2 linked regions of the Lytechinus pictus genome follow. The protein of the gene in region 1 interacts with the protein of each later gene in a pairwise test. Links are inferred from orthologs where the notes say so. Each region holds a gene or a part of one and is shown on either strand. Other genes may lie near its edges. The genes, in order: axin-1-like and glycogen synthase kinase-3 beta-like.

The links.
Region 2: the proteins of axin-1-like (region 1) and glycogen synthase kinase-3 beta-like interact in a two-hybrid assay, tested with the Drosophila melanogaster proteins (2 studies listed by BioGRID, with this or other methods). The link is inferred for Lytechinus pictus from reciprocal best matches to the Drosophila melanogaster genes Axn and sgg.

Annotation. Positions count from the first base shown.
Region 1 is NC_087254.1:17,714,377-17,718,313, reverse strand, and holds the start of axin-1-like, read right to left. Parts: upstream 2,992-3,937; 5' UTR 2,626-2,991; intron 475-2,625; exon of another isoform or gene 239-474; intron 94-238; exon of another isoform or gene 1-93.
Region 2 is NC_087252.1:13,175,726-13,179,662, forward strand, and holds the start of glycogen synthase kinase-3 beta-like, read left to right. Parts: upstream 1-1,400; 5' UTR 1,401-1,874; intron 1,875-2,187; 5' UTR 2,188-2,559; coding exon 2,560-2,698; intron 2,699-3,937.

The sequences.
Region 1 (3,937 bases):
AGATGGAGCCAGCGTAACGTAGTCTCGCTCTATGCATCCATGGTCCAAATAAGCGCCCCGAGAAAGCCACGGGACGGGAGTGCGATGTGTGGTGCATGCCGGACCGTCCAATCCAACTCCAAGTTAAACGTGTTTTGATGCAACATATCGTTACACGATATTTAAAGGAAATGAAAAGGTAATTTTGAGTTTTAGCCTAAAATTCCTCAATATGATTAAACTTGCACACTTTCCTTACCTTCTAATCATTGGAATGAAATATTATGTTCACCGCTGATCAGATTCGATGCAAGCAAACCGTTCGTACGCTAGGCATGGCGAAACTGGGCATAAAATGGCAAGTCACTTTGGATGCTCATGCTGCATACACACACACGTACACACACAAACAGGGCCTAGGAAGTTCTCAGTGTTGCAAAGTGCATGAAACATCAAAGCACATGCCCGCCGCCCGAAAAGCTCCCAAAGGGCAGTGACGTACACACAAACGACAAGCCGCACCAATCAGAATGCAATTCATTAAGTTGCCTGGACCACTTCCACTAGGAAATAGAGGGGTGTTCACCAAATCGTAAATAGATAAGGTATAGATAATATTCAAAGCACGTTGCGTTACGCAACACAGAAAACTCCAATAAGATAAATAGCGATGTGATAAACTGTATCGGCTGAACAGGCAAACTATCGTAATAAAACTTCAATAGAAGACAAAACTCATCTAAAAGTCTAAAAGTTTGCTCTTGTAACATAACAGGTCACACTGTCATTGTAGCGTGAGAAATGATTAGATTTTTCTTCTCCTAACCCTGGCTCTTTTCCTTCTTTATCTCTGAACCTGGCAGAAATGTTGATTTACACGGATGCATGGGATTTTATCAGTGTTCTAATACATCATACATCTAGGAATATCTCTTCTCGTATATTCAACAAACATCATGACATCCCTTTAAAATAGTTTGGATTAGAGGTTTCAAAATACCGTCACCCTCTTGTAAAAAGTCTGTTGAAATTAAATTAAGTTTGGTTCTTAATTTTGTTTCTTTCCCTGGCCTTCCTTCCTGCACTGATGACATGGTCCATCGCTTTTATTTACAATGAAAACTAGGAGAGCGGCGTCGTATAAATGCACAGTCGAGATTTATTCAGGCAGTAAAAATTCACTGGCTACAATTGTGATGACTCGCCGTCGTTTTTTATTTGTATTTTATTTTTACAACCTGGACTCTCCTGGCTTTATTCCTCGCCTGGAATTTACAGGGCGTTCATTCTATGACTCTTGGCATTCAATTGTGATTGTGATAAGTGTGGTATACAGGAATACCAAATATGAATATTAAAAGGGGGGATAACATCATTTGTAATCAAGTTTCTGACATATTCATGTGGCCTATATTATGCTGAAGCAAAATAAAATGAGGCCCAATATAGATATACTTGACATTTCTGAAATTATACGATAGCGATAAAACAGGCAAACATTTTCAAATATTCAGACATTATCATAATCACAAACATTTGGGGTCCTTTCCCCATCACCAGTTGGTCAAGATATATGACTAAAAAAAAGGCTCTATGGAGAATTTTCTTTAGTTTCTTTCTTTGAAAAGGTAGTCCTTACACTATTTAAAGCATATTAGCAAGCAAGGAAAGCAACTAAACTTATCACAAAGACTCTATTTATTTTTTCAAGTTGAAAAGAGAGTATTTATCTTACGGCATTTTTTCTGGAAATTTGCAATAAGAGGATTTTAGAAGTCCCTGCGCATCGACACACCCTCCCTCCCTTCACCAAAAATGGAACGAAGCTTCATTTTTTAAGCTGGAATCGACACCGATATTAACAATTACAACACTTTTAAAAGAACATCATTTAGATAATAAGAGCGTTCAATCCATGAGTGGAAATAAAAATAGATAAATAAATGAATGAATAAATTTAATAAAAAAAATCAAAATAACAAAAATATCCATAGCATATATAGGTCTCTTGGTATAAAGATAATTTTTTCAATGGGGTGACTTCATGATGTTTTAAGAGAAACAATGTTTGAAAAAAGTGTTGAATTTATGGGAAAACCTCAAAAGTCACCGCTCTCTTCCTCTAGGCCAAATAGCCTAATTTATAGATATATGCCTACATAATGAAATATATATAGCATATATATAGCATATATATAGCAGTCGTGAACAATACAATCATTTGAGTGTACCACAAATTATATACCAATTAAATGAGGTTTAACAATAAATGCAATAGCCTATCCGCAAGTATTTCAAGCACTGGTATACGGGTGTGATACGGGGGGGGGGGGGTAGGTGAAAGAAAATACATCACCTTTCAATCATAAATTAAGATTTTTTTATTAAAAAGTTAAAAAAAAATCACTCGATTGGCACGCTCATATATTGTTTGGAAAATATGCCACGTCTGGCCTCTCTTTTTTCTTTTCTTTTTCTTCTCATTTCGCCACTTTTTTTCAAGGGAAGTCGATCAAGCAAAAAATAATGGTCCTATATTTTAATAAATCAAAATATTAAACTATCATTAACAAAAATAAATCGCCAGAAACAACGAGGTATACCGGTGGCAAAAGGAAACAACATATTTGGTTAATATGACTTTACCTGATTTCGTCACTGACTCATTTAAAACGGTGACATAAAGGGTCTACCGTCTAGCTATAGATGTTCAATTCCTGTGTTCAGATTCATATACTCGACCGGTAGGTCTATAGTAAATAATTTGTTTCTTACAAATAATTCTCAGACGATTAATTTTTGAAGAAAGAAATAGAATCTCTAGATCGCTGTTCTCCTCCTAAGCCAATGAATAAGCAGGAATGAAGTCGGAAGGCGAATCGTCTATCACAAACGATGGCATGAATATTACAGGGAGGGGGGATACTGGGGATGTACAATAAGTTGAACCGCGGAACTGTTAGTGCGGGGATACCGAAGCGAGAATACCGCCTTCATTACTCCGCTCTTTACGGGTGTTAATGATTTATCGCGAGCAATAAAAATAAGCCGACTCTCTGTGATCTATGCCGACACGAAGCCCTGCCAATTCAACGTATCGCCTCCATATATACCGCAGCATTCAACGTTCTGCTTCTATTGTTCATCTCTTCACATCTTCCCCTCTATTCTCCTTCCCCTCAGATCTATCAATATTCATCCTCTTCTCGCTTCCTCTTTCTATCTGTCTGCCTGTCTTTCTCTCCCTTTCCCTCCCCATCTATCTATCTTTCTATCTATCTATACCAACCAACCTACCTACCTACCTATCTATCTATCTATCTATCTATCTATCTATCTATCTATCTATCTATCTATCTATCTATCTATCTATCTATCTATCTATCTATCTATCTATCTATCTATCTATCTATCTATCTATCTATCTATCTATCTATCTATCTATCTATCTATCTATCTATCTATCTATCTATCTATCTATCTCTATCTCTATCTCTATCTCTATCTCTATCTCTATCTATGTCTGTCTGTCTATCTATCTATCTATCTATCTATCTATCTATCTATCTATCTATATCTATCTATCTATCTATCTTTTTATCTATCTATCTATCTATCTATCTATCTCTATCTATCTATCTATCTATCTATCTGTCTGTCGATCTATCTATCTATCTGTCTACCTACCTACCTATATCTATCTATACCAACCTACCTATCTATCTATCTATATCTATCTATATCTATCTCTATCTATCTATCTATCTATCTATCTATCTATCTATCTATCTATCTATCTATCTATCTATCTATCTATCTATCTATCTATCTATCTATCTATCTATCTATCTATCTATCTATCTATCTATCTGTCTGTCTGTCTGTCTGTCTGTCTATCTATCTATCTATCTATTTATCTATCTATCTATACCTTCCAACCTACCTACCTATATACCTT
Region 2 (3,937 bases), on another chromosome or scaffold:
AGCACATGCTGTGAATGGAGGTAGAAAGCACAATAATGCAATGTACAAAATGTACATGCACATACATGTACATGTAGGATGTCCCATGCATTATTTAAAATAGACCCAAATTTTGGTGGATACATGTACTGACTACAAAAATGGGAATTTTACATCCCGAACTCTTGCAAATTATTGCTCAATAGGAATTAAGATACTGTAGCCTACACGTACATTACATGTCATAACAAATTTTTATGCTAATTTTGATATGCAAAATGAATTTATGCTTATTTGTCAAAATTCACATAAAATAATTCTTCTTGTTGACTGATTTTGATTTTTTTTTCTTCCATCTGGTAGAGCTTTATGAGGTTCACCAAACTTCTACACTGAATTTTGAAATTTTAAGTAGTTTGAACATTGTTTACAGTAATTTATGCAAAATTTATTCATAATCACAAAAAACGCTTATTTGTTGACAAATTTTGCTTTTTTTATCCATCTGGTAGAGTGTACATGTACATGAGGGTCATTAAACCTCCACAATTTATTCAGAAATCACAAAAAAATGCATTTTCTCTTTCGTTTGTTGATAAATTTCAATTTTGTTTGCTTTTAAAATGGTAGCTCTATGTGGGATACAAAACTTCTACACAGAATTTTGAAACTCATTTAATATGCTAATTTATGCATATTTTTCAAATCTCACAAAAATGTTCATTTGTTGACTGATTTTTTTTTATCCGAGAGCTACATGAGGTTCACCAAGGTTCTTTCTACATAGAATTTAGACATTTTGACTCAAAAAATATTAATCCTAATGTATAATATGAAAATTATTCAAAAATCACAAAAATGGCTTCTCTATTTCTTCATCAAATTCAATTCTGTTTCCTCAATTTACGTCACCAATATAATTCACTACAGTATCAACTGGGCTGAAATTAAAACTTGTGTTATATTTTGCTGCAAGATGCCAGATGAGCACCACGTCATTGATGTGCTAGTTATAATTTATGTCTGCAATTGATAGGGATCTCTTTTTTTTTCCTGCATAAGAGGTGGTTTTTTTTTATTACACAGAAGTGTGCAAGCAAGTTCATTGTTACCAGTACATGTGTACTGCACTTTGTTTTATTACACATCAGCATCATGCAAATAATTAGACTGTAGCCTACTATGTACATGTACTTATGTACATTAATTTAATACATTGAAGGTATGCAGTCAGGAATGTGAATTACACGTATGCTTGTTCATGAAAGGAAGGTGCATTCTTTTCCCTTTTTCTTGATCATGTAACAAGCATGTCAGGTATGCCACCATATTGACAGCTGGTTAGCTGAATGAATCATTGAACTAGGGCATTCATCCTCAAATTGGCAACCATCCCAATGCTCAAGTACATGTATGTACACACAGATTTGCTCATACTGTACTCACACACACACACACACAAACTCTATGTACATGTACACAGATGCATGTTGGTGCTCAGTGTAATCAACATATTACATGGATGTGTCTGTGTGTATTGCGCAGGCCCTGCAAGTGTTCACATGCTCTGCTGCTAATCACAAAAGCTTGTGTACATTTCGGGATCAGTTCAGACTTCACATCCAAGTCAGGGACACCGAGCTCTTCCTTTCATTGTCCATTCCTTGCGCAATCAAAACAAACCGCATTGTGCATTGTCTGAAAAAAAGGACACTCCATTTGGGAAGTCCATCATTCTGACGGAGATCCGTGGAGGGTCTGTTTTGACAGGAGGGATTGCAGCTACTATTGATTTGTTTCAAACTGCTGCAGTTGCACTTGGATGTTTGAAAACTTTGGAATTTTACCAGGAGAGGTTTGTGTGATTTGCACAGCTGAGCATCTACACGCGCTGGGTAGGACGAGCAACGCAGGGTGTTGAGTTACAGTGTTTACAATCAAGAAGTCAACACTTCTGCCTTTCAAATCTCACTGCTCTTGAGATTAAATTATTTCATTGCAAGACTCATACTAATAAATATGCAAGAAGTGATGCTCATGATTATGGATGATTGAATCTGACTTTTTTTTTTTTTACAATAGAATCAAATTTGTGCTATTTGAAAGGGGAGGACTACGACTACTATGATGGTATTCTTGAGTTGAAACCTGTTGGAGATCTGAATTTTCAGAATAATTTTTTTTTTGAAATCTTCCCCTATCCTACAGTCGCTAGATTCCAAGACCTTCACAAGAAGTGGATCATTCCAATTTGTGTATCAGCCTGATCGCATATGAGTATGGAAATCTTGAGAGTAATTATCCTGTGATCTGTATTAAAATTGATTCCTGCCAATTTTTTATTACATGTACATCTTGATGTGATCCTGCATGCTTTTACAAGCTTTCCAGATTTGTTCAAAAAAACATTTTTGATAACTTCTGCAGTTTAATACTCCAAGAGAATATTGAATTTCTTGCAAGGATAGTGGATCCTTACTAAATTGGATTCCTTGCTGTCTTTGACACAGCATTTCTTTTGGATGATACTTTGTGCTTTGATGTTTGAGGACATTTTGCCCCTTCTGCAGAGATTTCACAATGTGCACTGTGGAGCGCCCAGCAAGCGGGGAGTGGTCGACACATCGTCGACCGGTATCGTCGGCCTACAGCAAAATCGTCACACCACGCATTTCATCAACAAAAATCTTGCCTCCTACTTCCACTTCAAAATCAATGAGTATGTGCTTAAAAAAATATTACTAGTCAATATTTCCGATGTAGCCTAGGAATTCATAATGAAGAGAGACAAAATGTGTTTTTTATTGGGGGGGGGGGGGCAATTTAATTGATACTGGAAAGTCACACAGCGCAAGAGGCGATTATACTGGAGCAGCGCAATTCTTAATATGCACATGTCCGATAGGATATCACAATTTTAATAGTGATAATCATACAGTATTCAAATTGCACAGTCTGAGCTATTAAAAATCATAGGTGTATCGTTTGGTTGGGGTGTGAATTTTTGCATTTTGTGAGAGCAGGAATAGTTATGATTATGAATTCTCTGTACAGCTTTGATACATTTTGCATCACGGTATTGATAATAAATAGGGAATTGTTGATTACAAACCTAGGGGCACCAAGGCATTTCCAATTCTGATGTTCAAGTGAAGCCTTCAGTATGACCTGGGGGTTATTGATGCTTTCATAATGGATTTCTTTAGGGGGGGGGGCAGGGGCATTGCTCTCATGTAATATTGATTGGCCTATATTATATATATTTATTTTACAAAAAATCAAGTGGTTTACTGTACACTTTTTTAACATTATTTTCCCCTTTTTTTAGTTCAAAATACAAAATAACTGAACTTAGGAATAAAAATGTGAAACAAATATGTTGGAGGATTGACAGATTTTATCGCTTTATGCGAACAAGAACAAGATCGAGCTGGCACCCCTGTGCCTCAATGAAACCATAACTAGAGGAAATGCCATATGATTCAGCCTATTACGGACCGATCATCCCCTCACAGCAAAAAGGTTGATAAATCCTGCATTTCTATAAGCACTTATGCCCTTGTAGCTTTTGACAGATAGTATCATGTGTAATGCATGTGCTTGTCACTCTGAATATTCTTATCGTGATTTAAATCTTCTTTCTCTGTCACTGTATCCTTTGTATACCTACACGCAAGTATAGGGGCATATCAAGGTTTCAGAGGGAGGACGGGTGGGGGAGGGGCTCTTGTAGGGTGGGGTGGGGGTACTGTATATTTAAGGGGAATCTTGGCTCGGTTCCAATCAAAACGAGTAAAACAATTTCCAAACATCTGTTGTATACATGTAGGCCTATTAAAAATAGAAGAAAAAATTCTAAGGGAGAAGACCTATTGGCCGGGGCGAACATCTGGGCATTCATAATCTCGAGCCCTAGAAACTGACCGGCCAATGAAAACAATGCACTAGCGACCCATAC